Linked DNA regions of Rattus norvegicus. The protein of the gene in region 1 purifies or fractionates together with the protein of each later gene. This does not show direct contact. Links are inferred from orthologs where the notes say so. Each region holds a gene or a part of one and is shown in the gene's direction. Other genes may lie near its edges. The genes, in order: Mcm7 and Cdc6.

Region 1 (11,396 bases):
CAGGTCCCAGTGAAGGGCTCCTTCTCCCAGCTCTGCCTTCTGATCTGGGCTGCTCAGTTCCTGAGACAGGCTGGATGGTGGACAGGGAATATGCTAAACTAAGTGGCTGCTTCCTTGGTAGAGCAGAGGCTCTACCCCAGGGAGTCTTCCCAGCAAGCATGCTGACCTGACGACCCCTCGAGGCAGGGGAAGGTGCAGATGAATGTTGAGAGCTTGGCTGCAAAGAGGAAAGAACAGTCAAGCCCAGGGGGCAGTGTCTTACCCTGGGCCTTTCTGTTTGTACTGCTCTTGAGACAGTCAAACAGCTGAGGATGACTTTGAACCTGATTCTCCTGCCTCTGCTTCCTCCAGGCCTAGGGTTACAGGTGTGCACAACCACATTGTTTACGTGGCTGAGGATCAAAGGCAGGGCTCAGTGCTAAGCAAACACTGCACACTGGTCTATACCCCAGCCCCTTCTCTGTTCCTCCATAAGAGAGTGCAGCACAGATACATCCCCGCCTCTAACCCTTCCTTCCCCAAATACCACAACCTCTGACTCAATGAAATTTAAAATTGGTGGATGTGACTGGGTGTTTTGAGATGGGCGTCTCACTGTGAAGCCCAGACTGGTTTCACAACTGGGGAACCTTCTGTTTCAGGCTGCTGGGCTTATAGCTGCACACTGCACACTACAAAGCTTTAGTGAACCTGCCTGGAGGAAAAATTATCAGGTCCTTGGGCCTGTTTTCTGCCCCATACAGCTGAACTGAGTGTGACTAGCCCACATTCATTTTTGTGTTTTGCTTTCTGAGTATGAAGCCCAACCTGGCCTCCCAACTTCCTATGTATTTGAGGTTGGTCCTGGTCTCCTGAACCTTCTATCTCCCAAGGGCTGGGATTATAGGAATATGCCACCATACCCAACTTGACCAGCCCCAACCCTTACCTCTTTGGGGGCAGGTCACACCGTAACTTCAGGTAAACCTGGAGCCTGGAAAAGGTAGCATACAATTACATCATATCCTATTGGCATCCCATGACTGCTAATCCAGGGCACCCATGGGAGGAGACTGGGTAAATTGTACCCCAAGAAGGAAAAGGGCAGAGATCCATCCCAACCACATTAGCCAATACTTTCCCCAACCCACATCCTATCATCTCTACCACGAATAGGCCTCAGATGGCTTGGAGTAGTTAGTTCTAAAACACAGGAAATAGTCTCACCGGCCTGAGCCTTGGTCCCATTGTACAGAGGGAAACAGCCGGAAGGGAAGTGGTGAGGGGAGGTCATCAGAGAGCTGGTATCTCATCACAGTCAGCTGAGGCCAGACAGGGACAGGTCAGCTTGGTCTTTCATTGGTCTTGCCTCCCTCCCCTTGGTGGAGGGAATACACTGGGAACACACCCTGAACCTGACCTCGCCCTGAGGCGGCTGCAGGTGGAGGATCCGATGAGATTCAAACTCATCTAGATTGACAGAGCTATGGAATGACACCTCATCAACTCGAATCCCTGGCCCATAACCTGCCAAGAGAAGGAGACAGTTCTTCTGACCCATGTTTCAAAAGAGACATTTCCAACTTCTCTCCATAGTTTTTTGGAGGGAAAAACTCATGCTCTCCTTACCTCTCAGTTCTGACTTTCCAACACAGAATTCTTCTGTCAAGCCAATGCATATCTCTGTGGGAGGAGAGGATATGAGAGAAGGAGTAGCAAACACCAGCATACACATCACAAGGAAGCCTGCATCACACCGACATCAGCCCTCACCAGAACTGCTGGGGAGGAAGCTCTTGAGCCGGATCTCTCCTTGGACATCCACCTTCAACAGGGAGCCCTGGAGGCAGAAAGAACGTTAAGCTTCAGCCTTCCCCAGGTACCACTGCCCTTCACCTCCTGCAGGGGACCCAGACTTACATTAGATGCAATCAGAACAGACAGCCTTTCGACCACATCTAAAAACACTTCATTCTTTTGGCTCTAAGAAAGAGAGGATCTGAGTTACGGAGCTGAAAACATGTTTTGTTTTGGTTTGTCTTTTTCGAGACAGGGTTGAGATGGGGTTTCTCTGTGTAAAAGAGCCCTGGCTGTCCTGGACTTGCTTTGTAGACCAGGCTGGCCATGAACTCACAGGGATCTACCTGCCTCTGCCTTTCAAGTGCTCGGATGAAAAGCATGAATTACCACACCCAGTCTGGAAAAACCTGTCTTTCAATAGACAGGCAAAGTCAGGAATGGTGACACATGCTTGTAATCTAGCGCTTGGGAAGCTGAGGCAGGAGGACTGTCGTGAGTCAGCCTGGGTTACAAGGTGAGAGCCTGGGTTGGAGGACCCAAGGACAGCCTTATATCAAAAAGGCAAAATAAGAGGAACTACAGAGATGGCTCAGTCAGAAAAAAAAAAGTGCTTGTCACATAAATATGACGATCTGAGTCTGATGCCAAGGCAATACAGGTTATTATAGGTAACCTACAACCTACACTAGGGACGTGAAGACATGCAGGTCCCTGAGACTCACTGGTGGGCCAGCCAGCCCGACCTGGTCAGTGCGCTCCAGGCTAGTGAAAGATCATGTTTCCAAGGAGGTGGATGGCGTTCCCCGGGATGACATCAAAGGCCTGGTCCTTTGGCCTCCACACAAAAACTTGCTCTGCACATACACACACTCATGCATAAGACAAAAGAGGCAGCTGAAGGGACGGAAAGTTGAAGAAGAGTCCTAGGATGGGGGCCCAGGAGTAAAGGAAGGGATGCCATGTCAAAGGAGCAGAAAGATAAGCTGATTCTTACGACTTCAGGGTTGTAGGCCAAAAAAATCATCAAATCTGGCCCTACCGATCCCTCCCTTACCTGGTCAGAACGACTGGACAGGACAGGGCGGCTGGCTGCACTGCTTGGGGCCACTCTGTTCTGCTGCGTCTCTGCCCCAAACTGTAAAGTACCCAAAGCAACCACTCTTCAGCTTTGTACTCAGAGCCGACCCTCCTGCCCCTCTTCCTTCCCAGCGACTGACCAGACCGACGCTGCTGAGGTCGAAGAGGCTGAAAGGCTTGCTGACCGCGGCTTCAGTTTGGATGAAGTTCCTCAGCATGTCTGTGGACGTAGTCTGCACATAGCCGTAATCCTATGGACGGAAAGAGTGTGGATGTAGCCTCCCAACCACACACCCAGTAAGAGAGGACATTTCTTCACCGTAGCACGGGATACGAGAACAAAGTCCTTGGAGCTAGGGAGATGGTTCAGTGGGTAAAGGCTTGCTGAGCAAGTGTGTGGAGCTCAATCCCCGAAACATAGTAAGAAGCATCTGCCATCCCAGGGTTCCCATTCAGAGACGGGAGATGGAGACAGGAGAACCACAGGAGACTTGCAATCTAGTTAGCTTAGTGCACATATCAGGCTGGCCTTAAACTCAAGAGGGCCATTCCCCTGCCCCTGCATCCTGAGTGTGCCACTATGGCTGGCTGCTTATTCTAATTTTCTTTTCTTTTCTTTTCTTTTCTTTTTTCAAAGCTGGGGACCGAACCCAGGGCCTTGCGCTTGCTAGACAAGCGCTCTACCACTGAGCTAAATCCCCAACCCCTTATTGTAATTTTTTGAGACAAGATCTCATTATGTAACCCTGGCTGGCCTCGTTATGTAGACTGGGAATGCCTCTGGGTGCTGCTATATTAAAGGCATATACCACCATGACCAGCAAAGGACTGGAAAGAGAAGGACACACATGGAGACAGACAGAGATCCTGTGAGATGACTCTGCTGATGCTTGCTACCAAGCCAGTCAACTTTATTTCAATCCCAGGGACCTAGACAGTATGTTGGTTGGGAACAAGCAAAAGAAACTTATTCTAAATACTATCATTTCATTCTCAGACTCCATACATAATTCTCATACTCCATGATTACATAAAAAGAAACTAAATTCAAGATCCCAAGCCCTAGGGGGTCTGGGGACTTCCCGGTAGCAGAGCAGCTTCTGTTGTAAACAGTTGTCTGAGTTCAGACATCTTAGGGACAATTCGTACAGAGTTGTCTGAGTCCTGCCTTCTCAGGCACAGCTTGTAAGAGAACAGTGAGTTCAGACACCTCAAGGACAACTTCTCCATCTTGCTGGCAAGATCAACTAAGCCCAAGAAAACTACTCCTAATCTGATTGGTGAATGGTCCTTTGCTCAACCCCTTATGTCAACATATGATTGGACAGTGATATAGCTCACCTCACTCTCCTTCACTTTGTGGGGTCACCCTTTAAATATGCTAGGCAATTTCTCTTCAGGTTGTAGTTCAGTTCCCGGGTCTGTTCTACAGCCCTGATCAGACGGCAGCCCGATTACAGTACAGTTTTGTCATCTGCATTGACCTAGTGCTTGAGTTATGGTGGATTTATGTTGGATTTAAATAGACCCCACAACAAGTAGAAGAGACCTGACTCCAGCAAATTGTTCTCAACTCCACACATATGCAGTGGTGTGGGCAAATACATATATGCACACACGCAAACATGAATAAACTTTAAAAAGAGGGAAGTTTTTGAGCTTTACCAGCACTTCATCCAGGAGTTCGTAGACAAGCGCCACATTCCGTGAGATGGTCCCCTCATTGAGTGAGCCACAGTAGTCACCCAAGAGAGTGGCTAACCTAAGGAAACACAGCGGATTGTGTGAATAAACCTCTCATACACTCCTTCTTACGTGCCTGTTCCAGCCCCACTCACCTGGAAAGTAGCTCCAGGAGGCTGAAAGGAGAGACATTTTCTGAAGTTGTGGCCACCAAATAGAGACCACTGTGTCTGATGTGAATAAAATGACGATCATCGTGATACTAAGGCAGAGTTGAGGACAGAGGCATTATTAACAAAAGACCAGAATTGTAGTAATGTAGCCTGCAAGATAGCACCCTGGGGTCTCCAATCGTGATGGTAGAAGTGTGACGCTGGGCGATCCCTGAGACCTAAGACCTGGCCACCTAACGTGTAAAGGTAGCACCTACCTCTCTGAGTTATTGATAGTCTAGAGATGGGGATGCAAGGCTCTGCATCTGGCGTCTTGTCAGTACTCATCTATCTTACTTGGAGAAACGAATCCTTCCTCCTTAAAAGCTTCTTCCTGGTCGACACCTCTGTCTCCTGCGCGGGATACATGTCGGCCCGGAGATCCCCATAATAGATCTCCGTAATAAACCTCGCCTTTGCTCATTACATCCAAAAAAAAAAAAAAAAAAAAGCTTCTTCCTACCAAGCCGCCCTTGACAGGGAGAGATGAGGCACCCACCCACCTCCACAGTTCTAAGCCCCTGCTCGCCTGCCACAGTAGTTACCATGACAACCGGGGACTCGCCTCCCGGCAGTCCCGTCAGCTTCCGGTAGAAGAGCTCGGCCACATCACGACCACCACTATCCCCTCGGACTAGCCAGATGGAAAGATAGTTAAGGAGCAGGCGACACAGACTGGCCTGGTTTCGATTTCTACCCACCTCCCCTATCCCGTCTCCCGGTCCAAAGGATACAGTCTTTATAGATGAGCGGATCCCCCTTGGAAGACAGAATGAAGAACTGGGAAATCATGGCCGTTCTGAAGGATAGACAAGAAGACGGTGAAAGTTGAACCCACCCCGCCTTGCGGACACGGAACAAAAGGCCGCACTGAGGCTGGCGCTTTAAGAAACTCCTCCCACACACACACTCGCGAGCATTAATTTCGAACCGCGGGAAATCGGGTGCCCAACCCAGCAGAATCAGGCAATCTTCCACCGGCCCGCCCCCTAGCTCTCTGTCATTCAATCTAGATTCATCCAGTGATTGGTTAAAGTTAGGGGCCGGCAGCGGTTGGGAACCCCCTCTCTGATTGGCCCGTATTTAGCCGTATGGGTCACATGGGTGACGACGTTTCGCGCCAATTTCGGTTGGAGAGCTACGTACCGCTGCGCGTTCGTTTTCTGCTTCCCCGGAGTGAGACTTCAGAACCATTTAAGTCTTGCCGCACGGTCCCCGGCAGCGATGGCGCTTAAGGACTATGCGATTGAGAAAGGTGATGCTCTATAGGGCTGGGAACGGCGTCCTCGGAGGGAAACTTCTCTACCTACACCTGTTGAGGGGAGCTTGGGTCTTGGGGGGAGCCGAGATCTGTGACTCTGGGGACAAGCTAACTGCACCTGGGATAAGCAATGGGCATTAAGAATGGAGGAAGCAATTCTGCTTGGAAAAGATGATGTGGTTGTGTTAGGGAGAGAACCCAGTGAAGGCCACAAAGAGGAGGGGCGTGCTCGGGGAAGACCAGATGACGTGGAGCCTTCAGTACGGGGTTTGAGGGACTGGGTTACTAGACCAGCCTCTGCGCCTTGGGGCACTAGCAAATTCCCGCGTGCACTCGAGGCGCGCCGGAGCCCAGAGGCGGGGCTTGCTGGACCGCTCCGCTCCGCGATTGGTAGTTTTCGGCCGCCCTCCAAGCGGAAGTAGAGGCGGGCGGAAATGGCGCTACCTGATCGGAGGGCTGTCGTGTGTAAACAGTGTCCTTCCGCGCGGTGGCATCGGAGATAACTGCTCTAGGTAGGGGCGTGCCTGGGATTGGGAGGCTGAGCGCCGGGCGGTGAGCGTTGGCAGTATGGTGAATCCGAGTGGCCCTTTGGAGTTCTGGCCAATCCCCGCACGGCCACCGGTTTCAGGCGGAGGAATCCTGGGTTGTGAGGCGGCTGGAATCCAGGCCCATGTGCTTCTTTGTTTACTAAGAGCGGAAGCAGTGGCGGGAGCCGGGCATGGGGTGCCGAAGGAGGCCTAGTGGCAGACGTTCTGGCGGGAGCCGGAAAAGAAAGAGCTGTACTGTACTGGTAGAGGGAGAACCGAGGGTCTTAGGTCGACTGTGAGCAAGCTGAGAGAATTGAAGAAACTGAGGTTCCTAACTAAGGCAGACACTGGAATTTCTTGAGGGTGGTTAGGTAAGATTATTGTAACTGCCCAGGGACCTATATTCTTCCCTAGGTAAAAACAGACTTGTGAAAGGGAGCACTGCTACTTTGAGAACTTGGTAGATTTGTTTTGAATGTTCATTTAACTAACTAGTTCATAAGTCCCGCCAAGCGGGTTTCTTAGTTTTCCGTTAAGAGTTTGAAATAAAGAATCCAAAAGGGAGAGTGATTGTTTTTAAGTTTTTTTGCTACGTTATTGTTTGTGAGAGCACGTGCGCGTTTGCACGGGCACATCACAGCTTACAGTTGGGTGCTAGACACCCGCAGAACTCTTCCAACCTGTGGGTGGGTCCCAGAGATTGAACTCCAGTTGTCAGACTTGGCGTGGGCTTTACACCTCACTGTCCACAAAGATATTTTATTTCATATTTGTAGAAAAAGTGAAGAAGTTCCTGCAAGAGTTTTATTATGATGATGAGCTTGGAAAGAAGCAGTTCAAGTATGGGACCCAGTTGGTAAGTCTCAGGGTGGGTTATGGGGAGTGGAGTGGTGTGTAAGAACTTGTATAAGGTGCCCTACCTTGTGATAGCAAGAATGGCTATCAGTGAATGACTTGGTTTTGATTGTTTTTATACAAAGTTTTGAGTTCTTCTATGTTTACTTTTGGATTTTCTTAGCTGTTTTACTTGTATTTATTCCTGTATGCTTGTGCTCACATGGGCATGCCATAGCATGTGTGGAGGTCAACAGGACAATTTGTGGGAGTCTCCCACCACATGTGTTTTGAAGAGCAAGCTCAGGTCATCTGGCTAGATGGCAAGTGTCTAACCTGCTGAGCATTCTCATCCATGCCTAGCTCTTGGTTTTTAGGGATAGTCTGTGTGTAGCACAGACCAGCATCAAGAACACCCTATGTAGTTACATAGCTAAGGTTGGCTTTGAGCTCCTCATTCTGTTGTCTTCTAAATCCTAAGTGCTGGGATTGGGAACACCTGTCACTCTGCTGGACACTATTCTGTTTTTCCCCATGGGAGGTAGGCCAGTGACTTAGAAGCGCTTTTGTGGGTGAGGTGAACTTGACTCTAAAGTGTTACTGTCTCTTCCTTACCTCAGGTTCATCTGGCTCATCGGGAACAAGTGGCATTGTACGTGGACCTAGATGATGTAGCTGAAGATGACCCTGAGTTGGTCGACTCAATTTGCGAGAATGCCAAGCGCTACTCGAGGCTGTTTGCTGACGTAGTACAGGAGCTTCTGCCTGAGTACAAGGAGAAGGAGGTGGTGAATAAGGATGTCCTGGATGTTTACATTGAACACCGATTGATGATGGAGCAGCGGAGCAGAGACCCTGGGGCAGTCCGGAACCCTCAAAACCAGTATCCTTCTGAGCTCATGCGTAGATTGTAAGTACCTCTGTGGGAAGGGGCAGGGACTTGCTCTCCAGGGCCTTGTTGACAAATGTTTCTTTCTCTTAGTGAGTTGTATTTCCAAGGCCCAAGTAGCAGCAAGCCTCGAGTGATCCGGGAAGTACGGGCTGATTCTGTAGGGAAATTGTTAACTGTGCGTGGGATTGTCACTCGTGTGTCTGAAGTCAAGCCCAGGATGGTGGTGGCCACATACACTTGCGATCAATGTGGGGCAGAGACCTACCAGCCGGTATGTATACAATAGGGAAAAGAAAAATAGGCCTCTGTTCTCTGTCCTTGAAATTGTCCCACTGATTGTAATCTATCATTTTCTCCCAGGCTATTACAAACATTTTGGTATCCATTTAATTCTTGTTAGCGATTTGATCTCTGGTTGTTTTGACTTGGAATATTTCAAGAGGCTCTTATACTTTGAAAATGTTTTGACACAGCAGAAATGATTGCTGTGGTGATTGTAAGGCTTGATTTCCTGTTTCCTTCCTTTTTTTTTCTAGATCCAGTCTCCCACCTTCATGCCTCTGATCATGTGCCCCAGCCAGGAGTGCCAAACCAACCGCTCAGGGGGGCGGCTGTACCTACAGACTCGTGGCTCCAAATTTATTAAATTCCAGGAAATGAAGATTCAAGAACATGTAAGTTTGGGGGATATAAGTCCTGCACCTGGTTGTGAAATGGCAGGAAGAAAGATTGGGAAAGAGGTTTGCCTAGAATTTTTTTTTATTTGCTCTAAATCAGAAAGTCAGGAAGTGATTTAATTGAAATATTTTCTGGTTGCGTTGGGAGGAGAAGAATTCAGCTTCCTTCCTGATGAGGTCTTCTAATCTTAACCTGAATCTTAACCGTAAAATGGGCATCTTCTGGGGTGATACAGTTGGGCTAGGTCTCTATCTGCCTTACTTTTCTCCTTGTCTCATGTGTTCTGTGTCATGCCCTCCCCCCAATCTCCTAGAGTGACCAAGTTCCGGTGGGAAACATCCCTCGGAGCATCACAGTGGTTCTAGAAGGAGAGAACACAAGGATTGCCCAGCCTGGTGACCATGTCAGCGTCACTGGCATCTTCTTGCCAGTCTTGCGCACAGGGTTCCAACAGATGGCACAGGTGAGGGTGTTGGGAAATGAGGGAATAACTGCCTTTCCACCTCATCTACCCACTCTTAACACCCTGAGAAAATGAAAGCCACTAAGCTGGAACTTAGAAGTTCTCGGGGACTCTGGTGATGGGGAACTTAAAGGGAACACATCTGTACACTGGCGTTCTTCTGCCCAGGGCTTACTCTCGGAAACTTACCTGGAAGCCCATCGGGTTGTGAAGATGACGAAGAGCGAGGATGATGTGTCTGGGGCCGGAGAGCTGAGTGCCGAGGAGCTGAAGCAGATTGCCGGTGAGGCCCCGGGCTCAGGTCGTAGCCGAGCTTTACCCAGCTCTTGTCCTGAAGAAAATGCTATGACTTAATTTTTTGCAGAGGAAGATTTCTATGAAAAGCTGGCTGCTTCTATTGCTCCGGAGATCTATGGTCATGAAGATGTGAAGAAGGCGCTCTTACTGCTCCTGGTGGGTGGTGTGGACCAGTCTCCTCAAGGCATGAAGATAAGAGGTAGGAGGACAGGAGGCGTTGGAAGGCAGGGTTATTTGGGAGGGTGGAAATGTAAGTATCCCGTGAGTCTGTGAATAACAACTTAGGGTTAGTGACTTGGCTGAGTGCTTGTCTTTGATGCAGTAGGGACTTTGGGAAGGGGTCCAGGTCTCAAAGGCTCTTCTTCCCTCTGGGTTGACAACTTGAGTCGAGGGATCACTCAGGCTTCCTTTACATTTGCCAGGAAACATCCACATCTGCCTTATGGGAGATCCTGGTGTGGCCAAGTCTCAGCTCCTGTCTTACATTGACCGTCTGGCGCCCCGAAGTGAGTATGGCAGGGATGGGGCTTGGTGTTTGATTAAGTACTATGAGGCCTTTGGAAGGCCTGGGGAAAGCAGTTCCTTTCTGGAGCAGTTTGCTGCTTCTCTTTGCAGGTCAGTACACAACGGGCCGGGGCTCCTCTGGTGTAGGGCTCACAGCAGCTGTGTTGAGAGACTCTGTGAGTGGGGAATTGACCTTAGAGGGTGGTGCCCTGGTGCTGGCTGACCAGGGCGTGTGCTGCATTGATGAGTTTGACAAGATGGCAGAAGCTGACCGCACAGCCATCCATGAGGTTATGGAGCAGCAGACCATCTCCATTGCCAAGGCAGGAATTCTCACCACACTCAATGCCCGATGCTCTATCCTGGCTGCTGCCAACCCTGCCTATGGACGGTATAACCCCCGCCGCAGTTTGGAGCAGAACATACAGCTTCCTGCTGCTCTGCTCTCCCGATTCGACCTCCTCTGGCTGATTCAGGACCGGCCCGACAGAGACAACGACCTCCGGTGAATGAAGTATAGAGACAGTCCATTTTAGTGACTTTGGGGAAGGGAGGTAAAGTCAGAGCAACTCAACTTGTCTGTGTTCAGACACAGTAAACACTTTCCTTGTCTGCAGTTCATGGGGAGACAGAAGGTTGGAGCAAAGATGGTGAGGGGTTTTCTGGGAGACCTGTTGGTCATTCTTTGGAGAAAAGATGGGGCTAAAAAGGGATACTGAGTCAAAATCTCAGGGTGTTACAGCTCTAAAGCCTTGTCTTCTCTCCAGGTTGGCCCAGCACATAACCTATGTCCACCAGCACAGCCGGCAGCCCCCTGCTCAATTTGAACCTTTGGACATGAAACTTATGAGGTGAGAGGGATGGGGATGTCTCAGGGGAATACTTGTGTGTGGCATTGTCTTATGCCAAGTGTGTCTGAAAAGCTTTCAGTCTGCAGAGGACAATGTATTTACTTCCTCCTCCCTCAAAGTAGCTGAGCCTGAGAATACTGAGCCTGGGTCTTTAGCCACAAAGCAAGGGATCATCAGAAACTTTTCTGGTTTGGGGTGACAGCAGCAGGCTGTAAGTAAACTTAGCTGCTGTGCATCCTGAGGCAAGGGGATCTTTTAGAGATCTTTTAGGGGTGTCTCCAAAAACTACTGGCCTCCCCCATATATAAAAGGGTCTCCCTTACTGTCTTCTTCTTGTC
Region 2 (10,776 bases), on another chromosome or scaffold:
ACGCTCAGGCCGTGTTCCCAGCCATTGCTCAGGAGATTGGTCGGGAGGAACTCTGCAGACCCACCGGGAAGGACTTGATGAGAAAGCTGGAAAAGCACTTGACAGCCGAGAGGGGCCCCATGATGTGAGTGTTTCTCTGCTGCCTGATGCTCAGTGGAAATCTGCAAGGTGTTACCCCGGGAAAGAACTTAATTTTCAGAACATTCTAACTTATTTATTGATGGTTTTGGGGCTGGAATCCAGGGCTCTGTGTGTGTTAGATAAGCGTACTGCCACCCAGTCACACCCACAGCCCCTGTGCTTTCTTTCTGATTATTGAGTTTAAATTTTAACTGTTTTGTTTGGGTTGGGTTTTTTGGTTTGTTGTTGGTTTTTGGGTGTTTTGTTTGTTTGTTTGTTTTTTGTTTTGTTTTGAAACGGGGCTTCCTTTGTGTGTCCTTCGTTGTCCTCGAATTAGCACTGTAGACCAGGCCAGTATTAAACTCACTGTGATCTGCCTGCCTCTGCCCCCTGAGTGCTGGAATTAAAGGCGTGTATCATTTCTGCCAAGCCTAGTTTAAAGTGTAACTGTTTTTAAGCAAGTTCCTTGAAAACAATTGGACAATACCAGTTAGTGATGGGGGCTGTTGTGTTACCAACCTCAGGCAAGCATCCTAAGGTTAGCTCAGATCAAGCCTTGGAAGGTTGAGAATATGACGGGTACTAACGATGTCTCTTTCTATGTAGTGTGTTGGTGTTGGACGAGATGGATCAGCTGGACAGCAAAGGGCAGGATGTGTTATACACACTGTTTGAGTGGCCGTGGTTAAGCAATTCCCGATTGGTGCTCATTGGTTAGTGCTTGCTTGTTAATGTGACACGTTGTTAATTGTCTCAAGTCTGTTCAGCTTGTGACATATGTGAATGTTGTGTGTACAGAGGTTGACATCTCAGGTCTTCATTTTTTTACCGTCAAGTTTTTTTTTTTTTTTTGTTTTTTTTTTTTTTTTTTTTTTTTTTTTTTTTTTTGTTTTTTTTTTTGTTTTTGGAGCTGGGGACCGAACCCAGGGCCTTGCGCTTCCTAGGTAAGCGCTCTACCACTGAGCTAAATCCCCAGCCCCTCCATCTCTCCAGTTCTTCACTGTCAGTTTTTTTATTTACTGAGGCCGAGACTTTTGCTGAACCCGGAGCTCACTGGCTCCCTGGCTTCTGAGGATCTGAACCCAGCTCCTCGTATGTACTTAGCCAGTGTTTAATCCACTGAGCTGTGACATTTCCCTGCGCACCTTCGTTTCCTCTCCTTATTTTATGTGCACAGGTGTTTTGCCCGGGATGCAGTTCTTCCCTGCTTGGGTCCCTGATACCCATGGAGGCCAGAAGAGGGCATCTGATCCCCTAAACTGAAGTTACAGACCTATCATGAGCTGGCTTTCTGTCTTAGCAAAATAAGAAAGTTACTGTGGTAGAGTAAGCTAATATAAGGCACATTGATTTTATTAGGTCTGAATAAAAAAGTGACAAAGAAGCCAGACAGCACAGGAGGAAGCAGGGAGGGCATGATTTAGGGCGTAGTAGTAATAGTAGTGGTGGTAGTAGTAGTAGTAGTAGTAGTAGTGGTAGTAGTAGTAGTATTGCTGCTGTTGAAGAGATGGCTCATTGGACAAGGTTCTTGCTGCATTAGCATGAGAGATCCTGACTCAAAAAATAAGGTGCAGAGCCCTAAAGGAGAACATCTGACACCAACTTGGGCTCCGCCCACACACACACACACACACACAGGGAAGCGCAAATACACATGTGTACATACAACACACAATCGTACAAAGTGACATAGGCAGGGAGGGGTGTGAGTTGCCGGTAGATCACGTGCTTAGCGTGCACAAAGCCCTGGCCTCCGTTCTCCCGTATGTGCTCTAAAGAAAAGCACAAAATACCGCATTCTGAAACAATAGATTTGCTTTTTTGGTTTGTTTTGGTGTTCCAGTCAGGGTTTCTCTGCCTTGCCCTGGCTGTCCTAGAACTAGCTCTGTAGACTGGGCTGGTCTTGAACTCAGATCTGCCTGCCTCCCAAGAGCTGTGATCAAAGTGGGGGCACCACCGCACCTGGCTCAATAGATTTATTTTTTAAGACAGGTCTCACTGCAGCCCTGGCTAGCCTAGAATTCAACAGAAGTCTGCCTGCCCGCCCTCTTTTCTTACCCCCTTCTTCCTGGAGACAAGATCCCTTGTAGCCTCAAATTCATGATCCTCCTGTCTCAGTCTCCTGTGTTGGGACTATGAGCGACTATCCCCACCTAAGTACTACATCCTACCTACTAGGTCCACCTTACCTTCCAGTGTGGGGTATGGGGCAAGCGGAAGCAACCATTGAAACGCTGGGTTAAGCCTGGGAGTCTTAGGGGGCTTAGTTTCCTTCTAGGATGATTTTGCTGCTGGTGGTAATTGTTATTTACCTTCGCAGGTATTGCTAATACCCTGGATCTCACGGACAGAATTCTGCCGAGACTTGAAGCTAGAGAAGGCTGTAAGCCGAAGCTACTGAACTTCCCACCTTACACCAGGAATCAGATAGCTGCGATCTTGCAGGATAGGCTTAGTCAGGTGAGTGCCGATGCTGGGCCAAGTTCTGCTGTGGGGATGCTCTCCGCGATGGGACGCAAACGATAGGTTTAAAAGACTCCAATCTGATCGCTTTATTAATGGTGTGGCAAGCGCCTACAGACCATAATGAGTGAGAACATTTTTATGTGAATTTCTGCACGTGGTTTCGCTTATTGGCCATTTCACTGTCGAAACAAGAGTGGGAATTAGAGGGCTCATGACTCCTTAATGGCTTTTAAACAGTGCGACCCGGGCCAGTGTGGTGGCTTCATGGGTAAAGGCACTTACTAGTCACTGCTGGCTCTGATGGCCTGAGTTCAGTCCCTGTTTTATTTATTACCAGTACCGGAATTCACGAGGCCTCTCGTGCTAGTGTTTTGTGCTGAGCTCTCTTTATTTTGCATTCCTATTTACTATGCATTTATTTGAGACAGAGTCTCGCTGTGTTAACTTGACTTTAGATCCTCCTGCTGTAGTCTCCTGGTAGTTAGGATTTTGGGCCAGTGTTAACTAAGCCTGACTCAATCATCTCCTGGGTCTCGTCCGCAGGTATCAAAAGACCAGGTTCTGGACAGTGCTGCGATTCAGTTCTGTGCCCGCAAAGTATCTGCTGTCTCAGGGGACATCCGGAAAGCGCTGGATGTTTGCAGGTGAGTTATGGCTAGGTTGACTGTTTTTATTGAAGGAAAAAAAAAAAAAAGGAGATGTTGATGATCTGGTGTCGCCTAGATGAATATGACTTAAGAGGCTCCACTCTGCCTCTTTCCGAGCTCGGAAAAGAGGACTCGTCTCTCAGTGGGGAGTGCTGGGTTTCCACCGCGTTAATGTCTGAGACATTATCAGTCCATTACCTACGGAGGGAGAAGCAAATGAGATGTTGCCAGCACTCCCCGTGGTGATTATAGATTGGTTAATTACATTTGTATTAAAAAAGATGCGAGTTTGCTTTTCCATCCGCTGGTCTCAAGCAGGTTTATTTATGGACCTGAACCACCTTTTGCCTTCAGACTTTCTTCTTTCCTTTGCTTTTGTGGGCACCCCTTCCTCCTTCCAGTTGGTGGTCCCCCAAGTCCTACCCTAGACCTCTTTCTCTCTTCTGTCCCCCAGCTCCTCCTGCTGGGGAAAACCTCTGTGCTGACTGATGAAAGTTCTTCCTCCCAGTAGGGGCACTGGGTCCATTAAAATGATCCTCTGCTGTGCTGGCCCGCTGGTCCAACTTACCCCTATTGCCTTACAGAAGATCCAGGTCTGCCCATGGCCTCCTGTGGGCAAAGCACTTAAGAAAGAACAGTGGGAGAGGAAGCTCTTCCTGTTGCTAGATGGTGTGCTCTAGACTGAGAGTTCTCCCTAGTCAGCAAACTTACTTGAGAAAAACCGACAGCTATGAGTGATGACCATGCAGCAGGCCAGCAAGATTAGCCAACACATGTCCTCCTATATCTGACGACTCCCCTTTTGGGTCTGCTGGGTGGGAGTGCTGTCCAGCCCCACACTGTATACCCCGGCTACCCAAGACATTTTTCCTCATCTAAAATGTTATTGGCTCAGTGTATGACAACCTACCTGACATCGTAAAAGCGAGAAGAGTAGCAGTGTTTCCTAAATTCCTGGAGTTGTTATTTTAAAGGTAGATAAGTCTCTCTTAGGCCACAACATAACCCAGTTTATTTTCAAGCAGGGTCTCCTGGGTAACTGACTGGTCTGGAACTCACTATGTAAACTGGCCTCTTTTTTTTTTTTTTTTGGTTCTTTTTTTCGGAGCTAGGGACCGAACCCAGGGCCTTGCGCTTCCTAGGTAAGCGCTCTACCACTGAGCTAAATCCCCAGCCCCGTGAAAAGGCTTTTTTTTTTTTTTTTTTTTTTTTTTTTTTTTTTTTTTTGTGGTTCTTTTTTTTTTCGGAGCTGGGGACCGAACCCAGGGCCTTGTGCTTCCTAGGCAAGCACTCTACCACTGAGCTAAATCCCCAGCCCGTAAACTGGCCTCTTAATATTTACTGTTTTAGCTGTGTGTATGTGTGCTGTGACTATTATATGTATGTGCAGTGCCTGTGATGGCCAGAAGAGGGCATTGGGTGGTTGAGTGAGCTGCCTGTTGTGAGTGCTGGGCACCAAACTTGTAAGGGACATTTTTTTTAATGATTTTTTTATTTATTTATGTATATGAGTTTACTGTCGCTGTCTTCAGACACACCAGAAGAGGGCATCAGATCTCTTTACAGATGGTTGTGAGCTACCATGTGGATGCTGGGATTTGAACTCAGGACCTCTGGAAGAGTAGTCAGTGCTCTTAACCGCTGAGCCATCTCTCCAACCTGGGTCCTTAATTTTTTAAAAATGTCTTTTTAGTTAATGTGCCTGCTTTGGGGTATGGTGGCTTGGTGTGATATTTGGTTTGGCCCAAACTAAATTAATTTTAGAAATCTTTTTTCATAGGCGAGCTATTGAAATTGTGGAGTCGGATGTCAGGAGCCAGACAGTCCTCAAACCACTCTCCGAATGTGAGTAGCTTACCTGCTTCCTATCCGCCTTTCTAAAGAGTTACCTTGCTGAGGAGGGGGAAAGACCCAGTTAAATCTCCCTTCCCACAGCCGATACAAGAGGGAGCAGGGTGTGGCTTCGTCTGGTTCATTGCAGTCTTGCCTGCCAGGGTCAGTCTGTGTAGTACTAGAAATGAGTTCCCAGGGGTGTTCGTGAATGGTGGGGCTGGAGGACTAAGGTTTCTTCCTAGGCTCTGGGAACGAAAATGAGGTTGCAAGGTTGAGCCACCCTCTCAGGGTATGTCTGGTGCCCTTTAGGTGGTTCTGTGGGGGAAGGTAATGCCTGGTAAGTAAAGGGGAGAAAGGAAGAAAGCTTCAGGGAGCACGCAGATCGTGAGTTCACCTCAGGGCAGTCTGCGAGGCAGAGCACAGACCCCGGGGCTGTCACGGACAAGGCTGGTTTCCCTTTTCTTCGCTGGGGGATGTCACTCAGCTGCAAACCATATACTTACCAGTGTTAGGTGTCCAGCGTTAGTCTTTAGTTCTTTTTTTCGGAGCTGGGGACCGAACCCAGGGCCTTGCGCTTCCTAGGCAAGAGCTCTACCACTGAGCTAAATCCCCAACCCCGCGTTAGTCTTTAGAAACAGGGAGGGCTGACCTGTTTCTTCTGGTTGAGAGTTCAGAATAGAAACTTCCTCGTCAGAATTTACTGGTAGAAGCCGTTTAAAGGCTTTCAAATGGTAACCCAAATTAGTGCTTGGGCAGTGAATAGGCAGTGTATACCAATGTGTAGACTGTTTTCTCTGTCTGTAGGTTACTCCATCCTTACAGGCTCCCTTCCCCTAGCAATAACACACAGGCTCGTCAGTGGCCCTGGGGTCGTCAGTGGCCCTCGGGTCAGCACTGGCGCACGCTGCTAAAAGAGCTCCCAGGTTCCTGGTGTAGGTTATGGGAATGAGCTACTTCCTGTCTTTTGACTTCTGGGGGCGGGAGGCTGGCTATATAGAAAGCTATAGCGATGGTGACTTCCACTAAATAAGAGGGACTTTCTAATGCGCAGAAATAACTCGGTTCCCCAGCATTGAAGACAAGCAACAAGAAGTTGGCTAGACGGCAAGGGTGGCGGGCCATACCCGGGATCCAAGCACCCAGTACAAGTTCAAGGCCAGCACAGGAACGTAGACACGACTCTTAAGTCTTGAAACAGACGGATGGGATAGGTGTCACGCTGGGATTGTTTCAGAAGGGACCTTGCCATTGTGTGGGGAGGGAGTAAGGATAGACTCCCCGAGTTCCTTTTATCGTAGAACTTCTGCTACTCGATCCGTGAGCTCTGGTTTCTCTATTAGCCCTCTGCAGCTTCCTGCTTGTGGTAAAGCAATAGAAGCTGTTGTGGGGCAACTGCAGGCGGCCTCAGGAAGTAACTGCAGGCATAGGTTGTTAGAGAGCAAATCCTGCCTCTCCCGCAGCTGCTCTTCTCCAAGCAGTGGGGCCACCACGGCCCGTGTGCCTTCACCGTAGTTCCCAGCCTCCAGCTCTGGGGAGGGCGCTACACGCTAGGCTAGCCCCCGACATTTTTCTCAAGTGTCTTACAGAATAGTTTGGACACGTGAGGGAACCTCAGACAGAGGTCATTTGGGAAAGCCATCTGGGGTGTGGGGCCTAAGCCAGGACTGAGTTACTAGCCATGCTTACCCACCCACTTGATTCCAAATATTAGATGATTTTCCACAACTGTTCCTTTTGCTATTGGGCTTTGCTTCAGAGTTTTAGGCCCAGGATCGGCTGAGGGGCTTTGCACAAGGCAAGTGCTGGAGCACCAGGCTTCGTCCCCAGACAGCCTCTGGGACGCTTAGCCGTCCTTGTTGGCATCTGTCCGGGTTCTTGCCTTTTCAGGAGGGTAGATTAATTATCTTCTCAACATTAAACTACATTCTAAAGGACAAGATAAATGGGTGGGGCTGGGGATTTAGCTCAGTGGTAGAGCGCTTACCTAGGAAGCGCAAGGCCCTGGGTTCGGTCCCCAGCTCCGAAAAAAAAAAGAACCAAAAAAAAAAAAAAAGGACAAGATAAATGGAACTTTATTTCCCAGGGAAAAGACAATCCTGCCTTCTGGGACTGCCTTTCCCCTCATCTTCCACCCCAGAAACAACCTTTGCTGTCACGTGGGCACGTGGGTTTCTTTTAGCTGAAACCTGCATTGTGCGTCTCCACGCATATAGAGGCCGTATTTTAGAAATGGAATAAAGTGCCAGGCGGTAGTGGTGCACATCTTTAATCCTAGCACTCAAGAGGCAGAGGCAAGCAGAGCAGAGGACAGAGTTCGAGAGCAGCTACACAAGAGACCCTGTCTCGGAGGAGAAGGAAGGAAGGAAGGAAGGAAGGAAGGAAGGAAGGAAGGAAGGAAGGAAGGAAGGAAGGAAGGAAGGAAGGAAGGAAGGAAGGAATTAAATATAAGTCTTGCTTATTTACTTTGCAGGTAAATCACCCTGCGAGTCGCTGGTTCCCAAGCGTGTCGGTCTCGCTCACATATCCCAAGTCATTTCGGGAGTTGATGGTAACAGGGTGACTTTGAGCCAAGAAAACACACAGGATTCCCTTCCTCTCCAGCAGAAGATCTTGGTTTGCTCTTTGCTGCTCTTGACCAAGCGGCTAAAAATCAAAGAGGTCACCCTGGGGAAGGTAAGCTTCGAGGCTCGGCAGGTAGAGCCGAGGCTCCGCTGCACTTGGGAGGCAGAGGCAGGTGGAACTTTGCACATTTGACCCGGTCTGGTCTACATAGTGGGTTCTAAGCCAAGACTACACAGTAGTGAGGCATCATCTCAAAAACATGAGCTAAGGCCAAGCAGTGGTGGCCCGTGCCTTTAAGAACAAAATGCTGGGAGGCAGAGGCAGTGAGTTGACCATTAGCCAGATGTGGTGATATAATGAGTGATCCTGGCACCTAGGAGGCAGAGCCAGTACGGTTGCCTTCCGGGGCTGCGTAGAACCCATCTTTGTCTCGTCTCTGTTTCCCACCGAACTTGCATAGAGCTCCGTTCCTAAGTTCTACCTTCGAGTGAGATGACTCAACCATCAATAGCAATTGCTGCTCTTGCAGAAGACCGGGGTTCCATTCCCAACGCCCACACAGTGGCTCACAACCATCTGTAATTTTAGCTCCAGGGGCTCCGACAATTCTTCTGCCCTCCGTGGGCATCAGGCATGAAAGTGGTGTATGTACATAAATACGTGCCAGCAAAACACACTGAATGAATTTTTTCAAGGATAATCATAAAGTATTTGGGGCACCAAAGGTCTGTTGCCTACTCGAGGGTTCAGTGAAACTGGGTTGGGGGGGGGGATATTCAGGTAACTCAAGACACGGTTTCTGGGTTTACTTCTGTTTTTCAATCCGTAAGGTTATGAGATGTGGCTTTTAAGTGAGATCTGTTCTCCCTCATTTCCCCGCAGTTATATGAAGCCTACAGTAGTGTCTGTCGTAAACAGCAGGTGGCAGCCGTAGACCAGTCTGAGTGTTTGTCCCTTTCTGGACTCCTGGAATCCAGGGGCATTGTGGGACTGAAGAAAAACAAGGAGAGCCGCCTCACCAAGGTACAGGAGTCCCCGCTTTTAACCGTGCTGTCTTGGAGCGCATGTCCTTTGCCAAAGTAAAGACTAGAAGTGAATAGTTCTGCTGGGTAGGGCTTAAGATGTGAGGACGGGGCAGTTCGATTCGGGCCATTGAGGACGGCAGCAGTTATCCTGCCGGTCTGAGAGTGAACTATGATGGGGGGTGTGACTGTGTATGCCTATGAGCGCGTGTGCTCTTTCTTCATCATGGAAAGTCCTTTTCTCTCTGCAGGTGTCTCTGAAGATTGAAGAAAAGGAGATAGAGCATGTCCTAAAAGGCAAAGCTTTCATTGGGAACATCCTCGCTGCCGGGCTGCCCTGAACGGTTCTCTTCCTTAGGGCACCTGCAAGCGTCCTGCTGGCGTTTGCAGCTCGGGGGAGTCTTCGTTTTAGTAAGGTCGTTCGGAAACAGTTAACGGCCTTTTTTACTCCGCACCAGTAAATTTTAGTGTATGAATTCCTGAGTGTTAGCACTGGCTAATGTCCTTGGCTCTTACTGTTTTTACCCATAAAAATGACCGAGTGCTGGGTGTGATGGCGGATGCCTGTGCTCCCAGCACTTGGGAAACAGAGTCAGGAGTTCAAGGCCATCCTTTGCTACACAGTGAGTTTGAGCTAGCCCGGACTACACAAGACTGTAAAAAGTAAAAGCAGGGCTGGGGATTTAGCTCAGTGGTAGAGCGCTTACCTAGGAAGCGCAAGGCCCTGGGTTCGGTCCCCAGCTCCGAAAAAAAAAGAACCAAAAAAAAAAAAAAAAAGTAAAAGCAATGACCCCTTTTAAAGCAACATTCAGTACTTTTCCCTTCCTGACCACGGTACCTGCAAGTGTGTACAGACTTGTGTTGAAGAATTCGTATGTATATTACCTCTGTCTACAAAGGGTGTGTTTTGTAAAGAACTTTGAGGTTTAGAAAGATGAAACGGAATGATCCAGAAAAATACACAAGCCTACATGGGAAACACAAAGGACATTTTGTGCAGAGGACGCTCCATACATGTGACAGGTGCTGCCGCACCGGACTTTCTAAAGACGGGTGGACGATTCTCCAGCGCTCCCCACCAGTATGGGGGTGACAAGGAGAGTGTAACTACAGATTGTGAATATATTTATTTTCAAGTTTGGTTCGTTTGGGCTGCGTTTGTTGTCTTTGAGGGTTTTCAAGCACACAGGTGCCGTGGTGTTCATACCAGGGTCAAGCTGCCGGAGTCGTTTACCTTCTATGGTGTGGACTGCAGGGACTGGACTCAGGCCATCAAACATGGCAGCAGGCGCCTATCCTTCGAGCCATTTCATGGGCCTGTGTTGGTTGCCTTTTTAAGCAGCCACACGCTGTAGGAGTTTACGTTTTCAGAGGTTAATAGGAAAATACCTTCACCAGGCCTTGGGGCTGTACACCTTTAATCCCAGCCCTCTGGTGACAGAGGTAGGGGGGGTCTCTGTTCCAGACGTGTTCTAGGACGGCCTGGTCTACAGAGACTCCAGAAACAACGACAACGAAAATTAAAAAGAACAAGTGGAAATAGCCTCTCGCTTCCCCACAGTGTTAACTTCCCTCAGATGAAGCCATTGTTTCAATAGGATACAGTTCAGGATGGATTCTCATCTGAACCCATCTTTCTAGGCTCCCTACAGGAGCTTGATTTCCTGCAGCGTTAAGTGGCAGTTTGTGACAGGGACACCAGAGGGCACTATTGTAACACTGCTTTGAAAAGTGTGGGCCAGGCAAAGGTGGTTTTGAGGGAAGGGGCAGGAAGGTCCGACTTGTTTGGGGGGCGGTTGCTGCTCCTTTAGTCCCTGGCTAAATTCTTGGGAGCAAACGGCGCGTGGTATGAACAGCCTGAGCCTTTGCATTTCTCCAGGCGAGGCCTTGTCGTCTGATCCGACCCTGAGTCTGGGAATTTGATATGGGTACAGGAGATGTGTTGGCCACTTTCATTCAGCCTGCCCACTGTATCCTTGTAAAGTGATCTGAACCACAGCAGGTGGGAGGGGAGGGGAGGGCAGTGAGCCATCTGAGATGTACACTGCCCCGCTGCTGTGTGTGGTGTGTGTGTGGCGGGAGAGGCTGTAGATAGGGATTTGGATATGAAGCACTCCCGCATTTAC

What was found.
Region 2: the proteins of Mcm7 (region 1) and Cdc6 purify together in Homo sapiens (affinity purification with western blotting; 3 studies listed by BioGRID). This does not show direct contact. The link is inferred for Rattus norvegicus from reciprocal best matches to the Homo sapiens genes MCM7 and CDC6.

Annotation. Positions count from the first base shown.
Region 1 is NC_086030.1:22,157,699-22,169,094, reverse strand, and holds the start of Mcm7 (DNA replication licensing factor MCM7), read left to right. Parts: upstream 1-5,916; 5' UTR 5,917-5,975; coding exon 5,976-6,006; intron 6,007-6,453; exon of another isoform or gene 6,454-6,524; intron 6,525-6,686; exon of another isoform or gene 6,687-6,910; intron 6,911-7,315; coding exon 7,316-7,395; intron 7,396-7,993; coding exon 7,994-8,283; intron 8,284-8,355; coding exon 8,356-8,536; intron 8,537-8,801; coding exon 8,802-8,939; intron 8,940-9,256; coding exon 9,257-9,406; intron 9,407-9,574; coding exon 9,575-9,689; intron 9,690-9,770; coding exon 9,771-9,902; intron 9,903-10,125; coding exon 10,126-10,209; intron 10,210-10,318; coding exon 10,319-10,712; intron 10,713-10,974; coding exon 10,975-11,058; intron 11,059-11,396. Other genes in the region: Ap4m1 (AP-4 complex subunit mu-1), read right to left, coding at 1-70, 167-217, 929-973, 1,207-1,301, 1,400-1,506, 1,609-1,662, 1,753-1,819, 1,900-1,962 and 6 more. UniProt on the Homo sapiens protein: Acts as a component of the MCM2-7 complex (MCM complex) which is the replicative helicase essential for 'once per cell cycle' DNA replication initiation and elongation in eukaryotic cells.
Region 2 is NC_086028.1:84,364,449-84,375,224, forward strand, and holds the end of Cdc6 (cell division control protein 6 homolog), read left to right. Parts: coding exon 1-124; intron 125-726; coding exon 727-833; intron 834-2,440; coding exon 2,441-2,580; intron 2,581-3,129; coding exon 3,130-3,230; intron 3,231-5,013; coding exon 5,014-5,078; intron 5,079-7,536; coding exon 7,537-7,739; intron 7,740-8,510; coding exon 8,511-8,651; intron 8,652-8,901; coding exon 8,902-8,991; 3' UTR 8,992-9,791; downstream 9,792-10,776. UniProt on the Homo sapiens protein: Involved in the initiation of DNA replication. Also participates in checkpoint controls that ensure DNA replication is completed before mitosis is initiated.